Regions from separate parts of the Mus musculus genome. Here all the other regions are reported to be linked to region 1. Evidence: microRNA targets listed by miRTarBase, many of them from high-throughput screens and not tested one by one. Region 1 holds a microRNA gene; each other region holds the end of a gene's coding sequence.
What was found. Region 1 holds the annotated microRNA mmu-miR-146a-5p (UGAGAACUGAAUUCCAUGGGUU, at 2,175-2,196, opposite strand). A microRNA usually pairs through its seed, bases 2 to 8, with sites in the 3' UTR of a target mRNA and lowers its output. Matches are read on the target gene's strand: a 7mer-m8 pairs with bases 2 to 8, a 7mer-A1 pairs with bases 2 to 7 and ends in A, and an 8mer does both.

Region 1 (3,183 bases):
CTGGAACAGGAAGCTTCTCTGATAATGACTGAGCAAGGCATAGATTTGCTTCTCTGGCTACTATGGCTGAAGATTTCCCATTGAGTCTGGTTCGGATTTTTTAATTTGACAACCATAGCTCTTTGGTATCAACTTGACAAGATCTGAAATTATCTAGAAGACATAGCTCCAATTATCCCTAGGAGGGGTTATTTAGATCGAGTTACCCCTGGAGGATGCCTGTGAGGTGATTAAGTTAATTGATGTAAGAAGAGCCACCATAAAGTAGGGTGGCACCCTTCCCTGGGTAGTGTCCTGGACTTCATGCAAAGGAGAAAGTGAGCTGTGCGCATCTGCTGCTCTCCACGGCTTGTCTGCCGAGGTCATGTGGCCAGCAGCTCTCAAGCTTCTCATGCTATGACTTCCTCCATGATGAACAATACCCTTGAACTGTGAGCCAAAATCAACCATTATTTTTGCCAGGCCATTTTATCATAATAACAGGGGAAAAAATCCTTTTGTTGATGTGTCTATATTATGGAGATGAGGCTTGGTAAGATTCACTGAGATCGTATAGGCAAAGCCCTGGATTTAGGAGTCGATGCACAGTAAACACCTACGTTCCTCAGTTGAAAGACTGAGCATGTGGGTGCTGTACAGTCCCCCATCTCATGCTACCTCCCTCTCTTTTCATTCAGAGACAAGAGTAAGAAGGAAATCCCAGGACACCAAGACGTAGTGATGAGTCAAAGAGGAGTTCCCAAAGCACAGGGCACATTCCTAATTCCCCACTAATTCAAAAGCTTAATAAAGTCCAGATAATCAGCAGCAGCAAATCAAGCCCAACTCTCAGAAGAGACCCAACATGCTTGGTGACAGAGGTCTTTATTGCCTCTCTACAAGGACCTGAGCCCCATCATTTAATAGACTATATGTCCAAATAGACTTTCTAAGGCTTCTTAATCCTCATCCCTGGAAGAAACTGTCAGTTACAGTGGAGTGTAATTACAACTTCTTTTGTCTTGTTTGGAGGTACAAAAGAACACTCTACCCCTTGTTTGCTTAAAGTAGGCAAGAAAGCACAGGTTCAAATAAAAGGGATGAGGGGCTATAAGAAGGATGTGTTCTTTATCCTTTTTTGCTACATATCTGAAAAAGCAGCCAAACACCTCAGCAGACCATGCTAAAGGATAATTGCCACATACAATTAATTCCATCTGGTCCCATAAAGAGACTGGGAAATCACTGCTTGGCAATCCTGTGTCTCTCAAGCTTCATTAAAGTGGTGTTTCCCATGAGTCTCCTATAACAGCATGCATAGCACTTAGTCCCCTTCATACCTGACTCATCCTAAATCATGGAAATGTAAACAAGAGTCACAGCAGCAAGAACCACTCAGTGAGGCTATTTATAGGATGCTTCGCTTTTCCCAACCGGAGGAGGAATTGCCATACTATATTGCTTAGCACTGTCAACCTGACACAATCTTGGATCATTTAGAAAGAGTGTTAGTGAGGGATCATCTCGATCAGGTTGACCTATGTATATCTGTGGATGGATATATTGATTATATTAATTGGCATAGGAAGATCCAAGCCCACTGTAGGCAGCATCATTCCCTAGGCAGGTGATCCTAGACTCTTTAAGTGTAGAGAGGGGGTCAAGTACAAGTAAGCATATATATTTTTTCTCTATTTTTTTCCTCTTTGTTGAGACACAATCTCACTATATAGCTCTGGCTAGCCTGGAACTTGCTCTGTACATCAGGCTGGCCTACCAGAGAGCCACCTGCCTCTGCTTCCAAATTTCTTGGAGTGAAGGTATGTGCCACAATGTTTGGCTCTCTTTTTCTTCTTGACGATGTATGAGACGAGCTGCTTCAAGTTCCTACTTTGTCTTCCCTATAATGATCAGCTGTGACCTGGAATTATAATCTAATAAACCCTTTCTCCCCTAAATTGTTTTTGTCAAGATATTTTATCAGAGCAACAGAAATGAAATTAGAACACACATCAATCCAACATGACTCCCTCCGGTGCCAGCAGTTCCACGCTTCACCCCACTCTCTCCACTCTTCAAGTTCCTTGGCAGACTATGAAGGCCTTCAGAGTTTGTTCCAACCAGTGTTCTTCAGGTCCGTGATGACAGAGCTATCCCAGCTGAAGAACTGAATTTCACAGGTCTGACATTGATATAACCCATGGAATTCAGTTCTCAGAGCTGGGGATACACACAGACTCTCCAGATGAGGCCTTCCTCCCAGGCCAGATCCTGCCAGCCCTGTAAAAACACAAGAGAAATCTCTGATAAATCCAAAAGCACGGCCTCTGCAGACTGGACACTCTTGATGCATAAGGATCTGGGACACAAGATAGGCAAGTTCATAAGCAATCATTAAACATGCTGGGCATGTGGTGCAAGCCTGTAATCTCAACATTCATGAGCCTGCAGCAGGAGAAATGTCAGTTTGAGGCCACCCCATAATCCCAGCGAAGAAGAAGGTGCATCAAGAGGACTGCTGGTCCAAGGGCAGCCTGAAGTACGTAGCAAGATTTTCTCAAAAGCAATCAGGAACATGACAGATGGTCTTTCCGTCCCCACTGTGCCCTCATACATGTGCCCCTGGCCTGGAAAACTGCCCTCAACGCCTATTCCTCCTGAGGCTCTCACCTACTGAATCACCTCCTCAGCAAGACCATCAATAGCAGAGATGACTGGATTGTCACCCTGTGTCTCTTCTGTGTTCACCGAACCCACCACCCCTCCCCCCCACACACCGTGTACACACACTCCTGGCACAAAGGCCCCATTTCCTAGAGTGACCCAGTTCTACATGGAGACAGAGCGCACAGTACAGCTGCACCCACACCATGCAATGTGGGCCATGCACCACCCATGATAGGGCAGGGCATGGCACTAGATGATCTTTGAAACTGTATTTCTTCACGTCAGCAAGAGCAGGACCTTCCCCTTTTCAAGCCACTGCTATTTAGGCATCTGTTAGAATCATTGAGTGTAATAGCCTCACTAATACCTCGTCTCCGTTCCCCAGTGATACCTGCCATTCTCCTGTGTCATGTTCAATCCTTCCCTTCATAGTTATAAACTAATTGATAGAGCCTTTGATGTCATTGTTGATAAATACTATCTCCCAAACAAGACTATATTTTCACAGGGGCAGAGCCCATGCTAGTGCTTTTTTTT
Region 2 (3,183 bases), not on the chromosome of region 1:
GAACTCATACTACCATTTAAAAGACTAATTTTCTCCCTAAATAAAAATATACCTAAAAGGATACTAGTGCACCGCAGCAGAGTACATTTTGGGGGTCTCATACACACTACAATGAAAATTTACTTTTATTCTTAACTCCAAGAAAACCAATATGCAGATTTCCCCCTAGTTATTCCAATTTTAAAAACAACAACAACAAAAACCCATCTGCTTCTAAGACTTAGGAATTATCTTGAAATGTCCAAAGGAGGTAAGACCCACCCAAATCTGTCTACTGAAGGCAAGAGGCCAATAATGTGGCGTTTTATAGATATGCAGAAAAATAAAAATCCTGTCAGGCATAACATTTCTCTCCTCATCTCAATAAATAATGAGTAAAGTATAAATGTAAGAGTCATTTTATCTTAAAAAAAAAAGTCCAAAAAAAGCAAATGTACAAATGTGTATTTAAAATTAAAAGGAAAATGTATGCATCAACTGAGAAATGCCTCACCGTCATTCGGTGCCTCTACCTCCCAATCAGTCATCTTATTGCAACAGCTGCGCTCATGCGAAGAAATCTTTAAAACATACCCGATATATATACAGATATAGCCATGTATATATGTATATATATAATATATATATAAATTTTTATTTAAATAAAAAAGAAAGCTCGAATCCCAAGCCAATATGTGTATATCAAATCCTTGACCAGCCAGGTCTGTAGGGCATAATCAAATTCAATGTGAAATAGTATATAAACACGGTGCCTTGACTGGGCAAATTAAATAATCGCTACTCAAATGAGTGTTCTGTTTGGATTTCCTACTGGTAGGCAATGGCAGGACTATTTTTCCCTTCCCACCCCTCCCACTCTTATCCCACCCCCACCCACTTGTTTCAATTAACAAGATGATGGACACAGAGCTTAGACTGAGGTGACGCAGACCTCAGCAGAGTTAAGGGTTCAGGAAATAGAAATAAGAAAAATATAAACGTTTGCTTTTACCCAACCAAAGCAATGCAGTAACTTATTACATAACCAGTGCTTTCTTGTTTTGTAGCATCATCTAGAAAGGGAAACTGACGTCAGGCAATCAGAGGGATGGAGTGATTCTACGAAACATTGCCTTGCTGAACTCATTTTAGAGGGGCTTAGTAAATTAAGCAAACAGTGGTTAGCATTAGAATATGTGCAGCAGAACTAAATAAAAATTCTTCCTCACTCTTCAACTTTTTCATAAACATTTTTAATGTCAGAAAGCCAGGTCTATAAAAACTCACTTCAAGTTATTTATAGTTATTCTAGTAATTCTGATTACTGACAAGTGACCAAAGCATGAACTACCCTGAAGACTCAGTCAGTTTCTATCTGCCAAATCTTTAACGCTTTTGAAAGGAAAACAAAAATTCCATTGAAATAATATGTCCTTGTTTACTGAAGCTCCTATCGAGTGTTAAGTTTTATTTTAATTAAAAAATTTTCTTCATTGTGTCTGGTGTCCACAAGGGCCAGAAAAGGGTGTCATGTCCCTGAAAGTGGAACTGGGAGACACCCTGCAGGTGCTGCCAAGAACCCGGGAGAGCAGCCGGTGCTCTTCTGCTGAGCCGGCTCCCAGCTTTAGAGTATGGTTCACTGTCCTGGTTTTTCTATTCTAGGGTTTCAAGACAAGTTTAATTTGTAAACACAGCTCGAATTTTCCAACATGAGCTCCACATAGGAGAACAGGAAATGCCTATTTTCACTATTAACAAGCTGAAGTTCATTTCTTTTCTTCTTATTCTGTTTTTTCCTGCCTCAACATCTTGAGGCCAGGGATTACAGGAATGAGCCATTATATCCAATTCAGAGTTCATTCTTAAAATAAAATAATCTTCATTTAAATCTAACTAAACATTGTAAACACTAAATAGGCTTTCAGATTTTAAGGAGATAATGCAAGGAATGCTTGACACCAAAATGTGGCTCAAACAATCAACTGCATGTTGACATCTCTGAAAAGTTGAAACTAAAACCATATCCACTCAAATAAACTTTTAATGTTGTAAAAAACAAGTATCTATCCACAGAGCTAGTGATCCAGAAACAGGGCTGGGGTTAAAGAATAGCTCTAATAAAATTAGTTTGCTGCACAGTTTCTAATAACCCAATCTATTACCACAGAATTCTTGGAAACGGTGCATTTTTGTCTATTTTAGTTTACAGGGTTGTGAGAGTTGGAAAGGACTGGGGAAAAGGAATTATACACTGGGTATGTAATAATACCAAAATACAAGAAAAACCTACTTCATTAAGATCATACAATTAATCAAACAGAGTGTATATATAATATCTTCTTTTTTTTTAAAGCCCCGGATCCAAGGCGTCCAAAGTTATTAAAATAAAGTTCATTCACAGAACAAAAACAAATTTAATCTGAATTGCTTGCAGATACTGCTAATTTTTTTTTCTTAAAATTAAAAAAATGCATCAATGTGAACTATGTGCAGGTTTGTTTAGTAGTGGTGTTTGTGCACATTGCCTCCGGTGCTTTTCCTGGACTTCACTGACCACTCAGAGAAAAAGTTTAGAAGTTATCCATTTTTCTATCCCTATGCCCCATGAACTGATTAGGAGCAGAAGGTAGAAGCAGGTGCCCATATTCTAGGGAGCAGAATTGGAAACAACTCCTGATCTCTGGGAATCATTGTTATCTCCTCCTCCCTCAGAGTCTTCTGACAGATTCAAAGAGCTGGTCTTGTTTGATAGGAGGCTGAGATTCTCTTGTGTCAAGGCTGATCCATTTGGTACATCACTGTAAATTACATGAAAAAATAGTTGGAATTTATAGAAAGAGAAAAGCAATTACTCTAAATAAAATCCAATCAATAGGGCTTATTATTTAGCACTGTAGAAAAACATGAGGCTGGAGTAGAGCACATGCCTTTAGTTCAAGCAGAAGGCAGAAGCAGCTGGTCTTTATCAGTTTTAGGTTAGATTGGTTCCAGGCCAACCAAGGCTAGCTACACAATGAGACTGTCTCAAACAGCCAAAATAAAAATAACTACATAAATAGCTTCCAAATATTGATTCTAACTCCTCATCCACACTGTAGCATAGATGATAAACTAAAACTGACAAGCTTCCTACTCTATACGTATAGGTTATAGCAGAACACAACCTGCATATACATATTAGAAAACTGAACTAAGAGTTAAAAC
Region 3 (3,183 bases), not on the chromosome of region 1:
AGTCCCAGGGGATCTGAATCCCTCTTCTGGCCTCCGCAGATACCTTTGTATATACATGTATATACTTTGTATATACATGGTGTATTTAAAACTCACGTAGAAACACACATATAAAAGGAAAAATCTTATTTTCAAAAAGCAAACTAAAGGTATAAAGAAAACCTTGGCTCCAAAGACTGCCCTGAGCTGGGCAGTGGTAACGCATGCCTTTAATCCCAGCACTTGGGAGGCAGAAACAGGCAAGTTTGGGGCCAGCTTGGTCTACAGAGCAAGTTCCAGGATAGCCAGGGCAACAGACAAAAAAACCCTGTGAGAAAAAGGTGGGGTGGGGTAGGGAATTAGCTCAGTTGTAGAGCATTTGCTTAGCAAGCGAAGTGCCCTGAGTTCCAGTCTCCTTCCCACATGCTCAGTTTGGAGTGGGAGGGGGCCCACAAAGTTCTGTGCTCATGGTTCATGTCAGGGTATTTGAAAGACAAGAAGTTGTCCCCAACTTATTAAGTGATATTTTCTTTTCCATAGGCTTGGATTTAGAACCTGAAAAGAGCCAGGGACCTGAAGAAAGTGATGAATTCCAGAGCTGATTTGTTCACTCTGACAAATCCCTCAGACTCAGAGGTCAAAGTTCTCATGCTTGGAAGTTCTCATAGTGTGCAAACTCCTCAGTAGCCCAAAGGCATCAGGTGTGGGGGCTCACTCTGGCAAAGGAGAGAGGGCAGTGGACCCTGCTGTTCTCAGAATGTGAACACAGACAGGGCCAGCCAAAGAACTTGATAGAAGCTGATAAGGCAGGCAATGTGAGGCCAGCATTTGTGAGCAAGGCAAGCAGAGTACCTAAGGAATTGGGTAGTACAAAACAGAAGACTGGGGCTGGTGAGATGGCTCAGTGGGTATGAGCACCCGATTGCTCTTCCAAAGGTCCGGAGTTCAAATCCCAGCAACCACATGGTGGCTCACAACCATCTGTAACAAGATCTGACGCCCTCTTCTGGAGTGTCTGAAGACAGCTACAGTGTACTTATATATAATAAATAAATCTTTAAAAAAAAAAAACAGAAGACTGCTAGCTACACAGGCCCAGAGGACACAAGTAGGTCTGTTTGTATGGTGGGAGCTAGCTCCCCTGAGAGCTAGATAATATATCTGCAGTCTGTGAGTCTATTCCTCAGAACTTCCCTAAAACACCAAGCGAAAGTAGCTGTTGTGCTTGTAAATTGCAAAAAAAAAAAAAAAAAAAAAAAAAAGAGTGTCTTACAGTTCAGTCCACTAGCTAGAAGTGAGCACTCTGAGATTCTCCCAAGAGTCTAATAAAACCCCCCTCCCCATCTTGGGTGGATATATGCAAGCCTTGCCAGATAGCAGTGAGCTAGTTTCATATGACTACCTGCCTGCCTAGGCAGGCTCTCTCTATACCCTGCAAATTGACTGTGGATGCCCAAGGTTCTGCTTATGGCAGAAAGGTCCAGCAAAGCCCAGCTTTGTGGTACCCAGACAGTGAGAAGCCCCAAGAAAGAAGAAACTGAGAGCAAAGCTAAGTATTTGAGGGGGAAGAATGTTACATTTAAAAAAAAAACAACAAGTTTTTGTATAATTAAGTGTCTTCACAAGTAGCCCAGGGCTATAGCCCAGGCTTACAGTGATTCTGTGTTTGAGTCATGAGTCACACTACATGCCCCTGTGTAATTGGTGACATCCAATTTGTCCTTGAGTAATAAAAGCATACATTTCACTGTCTGGTTAAACTTGTGGAATTTGTTGTGCTAAAAGTGTTATGCTTTCCTAATGCTTTATATCTCTGGGCTCTTAAGTGTCCACCCAAAACTCAGGCCCCTAGCATTTGTTCTTTTCTCTTGTCAGGCCAGACTGGGGATAGATCCCCTTGCTTTCTTGTCTTGCAGATTTCGTGGATATTGATGCTATTGGAATTGAAGCCTTCATGTCTGAATTATTCATCAATCATATATAGAAATTTCATTAAGTTTTGATCCTGATCTTTATTCTGTGGCCTTACTTCTTAGCCCCACTTGTTTTGGGGGTGATTACTCTGAGATAGTTTGTATACAATCAACCTATCTGAAAATAAAGATAATTTTACTCCATTGCCAACCTATATGCCTTTTAATTTTCTTTTCTTTTTAGAACTAACTATATAGCCCTGACTGTCCTTGATCTTGATATGTAGACCAGACTGGCCTTGAACTCCAGAGGTCTACCTGCCTCTGACAAGGCATGCTCTACCATACCCAACTTGACTTTTTTTTTCTTCATTTATTGCATTGGCTAGGGCCTATAAGTTTTGAATACAAGTGGGAAACCCCACCCACTCTCAGGAGTTTTTCTCACTTTTCTTAACAAATCTATGTTTGTTCTATTAAAGAAAAAGAAAATAAACATCATTGTTATTTTTCTTGTAAAGGTGGAATTGAAAGAGGAGTTACAGAATATTTCAAATGATGCTACTGAGTCTATTGAGATAAACAGAATTTATTTTCATTCTGTTCATGCAGTGGTCACATTGGTTTTGAAATGTTAAGCTAGATGCATATTCTGGCTTGGTTGCCACATGTTCTGTTTTTGTTTGTTTTGCTGAATTCTGTAAGTGCAATTTTAAAAGTGATACATTTTCTCTATTCCCAGTTGCCTCCCAAATAAATGAGACGGACTATAAGGTTTATTTTATAAGCTTTACAGCACATTAGCTGAGCAGTTATTAACCTATTGTATTTCTCTTAAAATAATCTGGCTACCTCTGACCCAAAATCCCCATACTTGCAATTTTAGTATTGATCTGGCTCTCTCTGCTTCAGATGTTTTTTCATAGTGTTTTCCACCCTCTCCTCATGACCCAGTCTTCCCTTCCCCTCTCACTCTCTGCTCTCCCTCTGGCTGGCAGAGTCCCTCCCACCCTATTCCTCTTCTTGGGTGCTTAGTTTTTATTGACAAATAAGAAAATAAATGGGGAGCAATATCTACACAAACTTGAAGTGGAAACTTAAGGGTTCTTTGAAAAGTCAGTTGGATGATGTTTTTGCTGGGCAAACAGATGAACAATTCCTTAGAGTGGACACAGGTGAAAGGTTAAGGCGGACTCGTGAAGGAACGTTTCACTGAAGCAAACACAGAAGAGGGTGTTCTGCTAAAGCAAGCACATGAAAGGACATGTGATGAAGGATTCTTTGCTAATGA
Region 4 (3,183 bases), not on the chromosome of region 1:
ACGTCTTACACAGACCAAAGGAAGGCACCAACCTGAAATTCTCCAAAAGGGGGTCACCCTTCCAAGACCAAAGGAAAATCAAAGTTCAATAAATATTCTCTCCGCAGGTGGGCCCCGAGAACTGAGCTTAGGTGCGGCAAGCTTGCTTTCCACGGAATCATTTCACACTACACTCCTCTGGGGGGTTCTCCAAGCTTACAAGGTATGACACTAGATGTCACTTGAGTCTACAGGAAAGAATGGAAGGCACCAGAAATGCTAAACACACACACACACACACACACACACACACACACACACACACACGCACACATACACAGAGTCTCCCACAAAGCTCATGTTTTGAGAGAGGGTCTCACTATGTAGCCCTGACTGGCTTGAAGTCACAATGATCCCCCTGCCTCTACCTGCCTACTGCTAGGATTAAAGGCAAGTTCTGCCAAGCCAGACCAACCAAGCTGAGTTTGCTTGTTTTTAAGCAAAACTTTTATCTGTATGATTGAGTTTATTGTGTAGAGACATGTTTATTTGAACAGACTCACAAAAGCAAAGGGGGAAAGTGAAGAGACCTTCTTCACCGGAGACTTGAATAACTAAAGGCACGCGTTCTTGTCCCTACAACCACTCAGAATTAACAGTATGGCTGGGTGGCTGGGTGGAGTAGAAAATGCCTTTGATTCTAGAGCTTGGGAGGAAGAGAACTCTGTGAGTTCAAGGCCAGCATGGTCTATTTAGTGAGACAAGACAAAAAAAAAAAAAAAAAAAAAAAAAAAAAAAAAAAAAACACACAACAATTAAACTAACCATGACTGAAAATAAAAACTGAAGAAAAAATACTAGAAAATACTAATTAAACTAAAATGAGGAAAAAACGGAGGAATACAAAGGCAGGGGAAAACCATACGTACATGGACTACAAATTCATCAAGAGATAGCTGGGCTTGGTGCTGAAACTGTATAAGGTGTAAAGTGACTAAACAAAGTGACTCGAAAGCAGAGACTAAATGAAAAACCCAGTTAAATATGCCCGAAAAGAAGGTATTTAAACACAGGGAGTTTAAAAGTAAACAAACAAAAAGTTATACCATAAAAACAGTAGACACAAAAGAATTCTTTCCCTTCAGTGTGAGACAGTGTTTTAAGTAGCCCAGGCTGGCCAAGCTCACATGGAACAGGGTATAACTTTGAACATGGGTTTGGGTTACAGGGATGTGCCACTTTGCCCAGTTTATGTACTGGGAGGACAGACCCACATGCTAGGCAAGCACCCTTAAATGGAAGACTCCTCAGCCCCACGAATAATTTTGTTTTAAATCTGAATCTCTCATGAAGTAGCAGATCTCTCGTTTCAGCGGCGGTCTGATTGCCCTGGCCTGCTGCGATTGCGGGTGTGCGTCCCTGCCCAGCTGATATGGCAGCTTTTGAGTTACACCTTGTAGAACAATGGTTTCTATTTACTATCTGGTCACTGAGAACCAGGATCCCTCAACTCAGAGGAGGAAAAGTGCCCTCAACCTTGATTTTTGCCTCTTTGCCAGGGCCTTGTGCATTCCTCTAGGCCTGAGTTGACTCCTTCCCCAGCTCTTGTTATTTTGGGGTTTTTTCTTTTAATGTGAGCAAGCGCTTAACATGGGTAGGCCATCAGGATTTATAGCAGTGTGTGGCTGTGACCTTTGATCCAGCTTTGAAGTGAACATAATTCTTTACCCACCTTCATTTGTACTACGGCCAAGCCACCCTCTGGCACCTTCCCTTCACTTCCGTACACCCTCTGGGTCTTCTGTGTCACTTACCAACTTTTGTTTGAGTGTTCTTTTTTTCTGGAGCAGAGACTTTCACATTTAGGCAAACTTCAGTGTGCAAGAATGTCCTACTCTCTAAAACCGCCGTCCAGAAGCTGTAGTGCACCTTGGCTTCTTAGCTGCGGCAGGAAAGCACAGGACAGGCCTTCAACAACAAAGGAGCCTCACAGCAAGCATGGCTTTGTAGGAATGATTCTGAGGCATGCGACAACCGGTTCCCTCCTGGGCAACCAGGCTTTGCAAGTAACTTTCTATCCTAACAGACCATACTTGCACATGCCGCAACAGTCAAACTTACAACCTTGGAGAGTTTAAGATAAACTCAGCGTGGGCCCTTCTGAAATACACAGCAGCTCACTGCTGGTGACCTCACTACTGATGTCATCATGAATTGATGCGGATACCTCACTACTATCTGCCATTCATCTGTAAGCAAAGACTGAGGGGCAAACTCACCCTCCAATCAAGAGGAAATCTCACCCACCCGGATTATTCACAGTGGTTTGCCGTCCACAGCTCTTCAAAGCAGTGACACACACACACACACACACACACACACAACCTAAATCAGTCTGCCCTGCCCCCATTTCCTATATTCCTACTGTGTTCTGATTGCTTCCTTCAAGAAAATGCTCTTCATTGCAATAACTTTTAAAGAAAATACTTTATTACATCATGAAAAAAGGTATCCAACAACTAGATTCATACTTGCTTGAATCTAAAAAAAAACAAACAAACAAAAAACTGAAAGTTTACTCATTAGACTGTAGGTGGGCGTCCCATTCCACATGGGAAGAGAGAGGTGCGAGGGCGTCTAAAGTATTGCACAGTCTTGGAACATAAAGAAGAGGAGTCTGGAGGAGAAGATCACATGATACTGGGAACCGTCTCACATTATGAGAAACTACCAAGAAACATTCGAAAAGAAAACCCTTTGTTTCTACAGTAGCTTTAGTTTGTAGTTCTTGGAATGACTCTATTCCACTTAAGACATCTTAGTAACAGGAAGCTTCGTCTGAGCAATCCCATGTGCAAATATTAATAGAAAAATATATAAAATAATGCATCTCTTGCCATCACCCCCGGCAATCAGGACCGTATTTTGGAGAACTGTTTTGTTTGAAAAAACGGTTAAGCTGTGAGTTTGGCCTGAAGCTCCATCTCTGCCGCTCGTTTGAGTGCAACATCCACTAGAAGCTGGAATCCACTAAAATCCTGGTTGAGGTCTGGTGGAGTAGGGGGAGGAGTGTTGAAAAGACCACTCTGAGGGTTTGGACTGGGTCCAGATTTGCAAGTGTCCTCTGGGTACACGAGAGAGGTGTCTGTAAAGTTGCTGGGTGCTATTTGCGGTACATCTGTACTCTGTCCCACACCAATCGGC

Region 2: the mRNA of Rc3h1 is a reported target of mmu-miR-146a-5p. The part of its 3' UTR that is shown has no 7-base or 8-base seed match.
Region 3: the mRNA of Irak1 is a reported target of mmu-miR-146a-5p. Seed matches in the 3' UTR shown: 8mer at 621-628, 8mer at 637-644 and 7mer-A1 at 728-734.
Region 4: miRTarBase lists Tgif1 as a target of mmu-miR-146a-5p. Seed matches in the 3' UTR shown: 7mer-m8 at 2,908-2,914.

What each region holds. Positions count from the first base shown.
Region 1 is chr11:43,372,261-43,375,443 of GRCm38, forward strand. It overlaps Mir146 (microRNA 146), which reads right to left and starts at 2,201; the gene lies at 2,137-2,201.
Region 2 is chr1:160,967,241-160,970,423 of GRCm38, reverse strand. It overlaps Rc3h1 (RING CCCH (C3H) domains 1), which reads right to left. Exons shown (of 20, transcript NM_001024952.2): 20 at 1-2,777. The coding sequence ends at 2,627. Among named protein-coding and RNA genes, the nearest start is that of Serpinc1, 9.8 kb to the left of the region's middle.
Region 3 is chrX:74,012,838-74,016,020 of GRCm38, reverse strand. Irak1 (interleukin-1 receptor-associated kinase 1) reads left to right here. Exons shown (of 15, transcript NM_001177973.1): 15 at 520-2,107. The coding sequence ends at 581. Among named protein-coding and RNA genes, the nearest start is that of Mir5132, 9.2 kb to the left of the region's middle.
Region 4 is chr17:70,841,764-70,844,946 of GRCm38, forward strand. It overlaps Tgif1 (TGFB-induced factor homeobox 1), which reads right to left. Exons shown (of 3, transcript NM_009372.3): 3 at 2,442-3,183. The coding sequence ends at 2,934. Among named protein-coding and RNA genes, the nearest start is that of Gm41610, 2.1 kb to the left of the region's middle.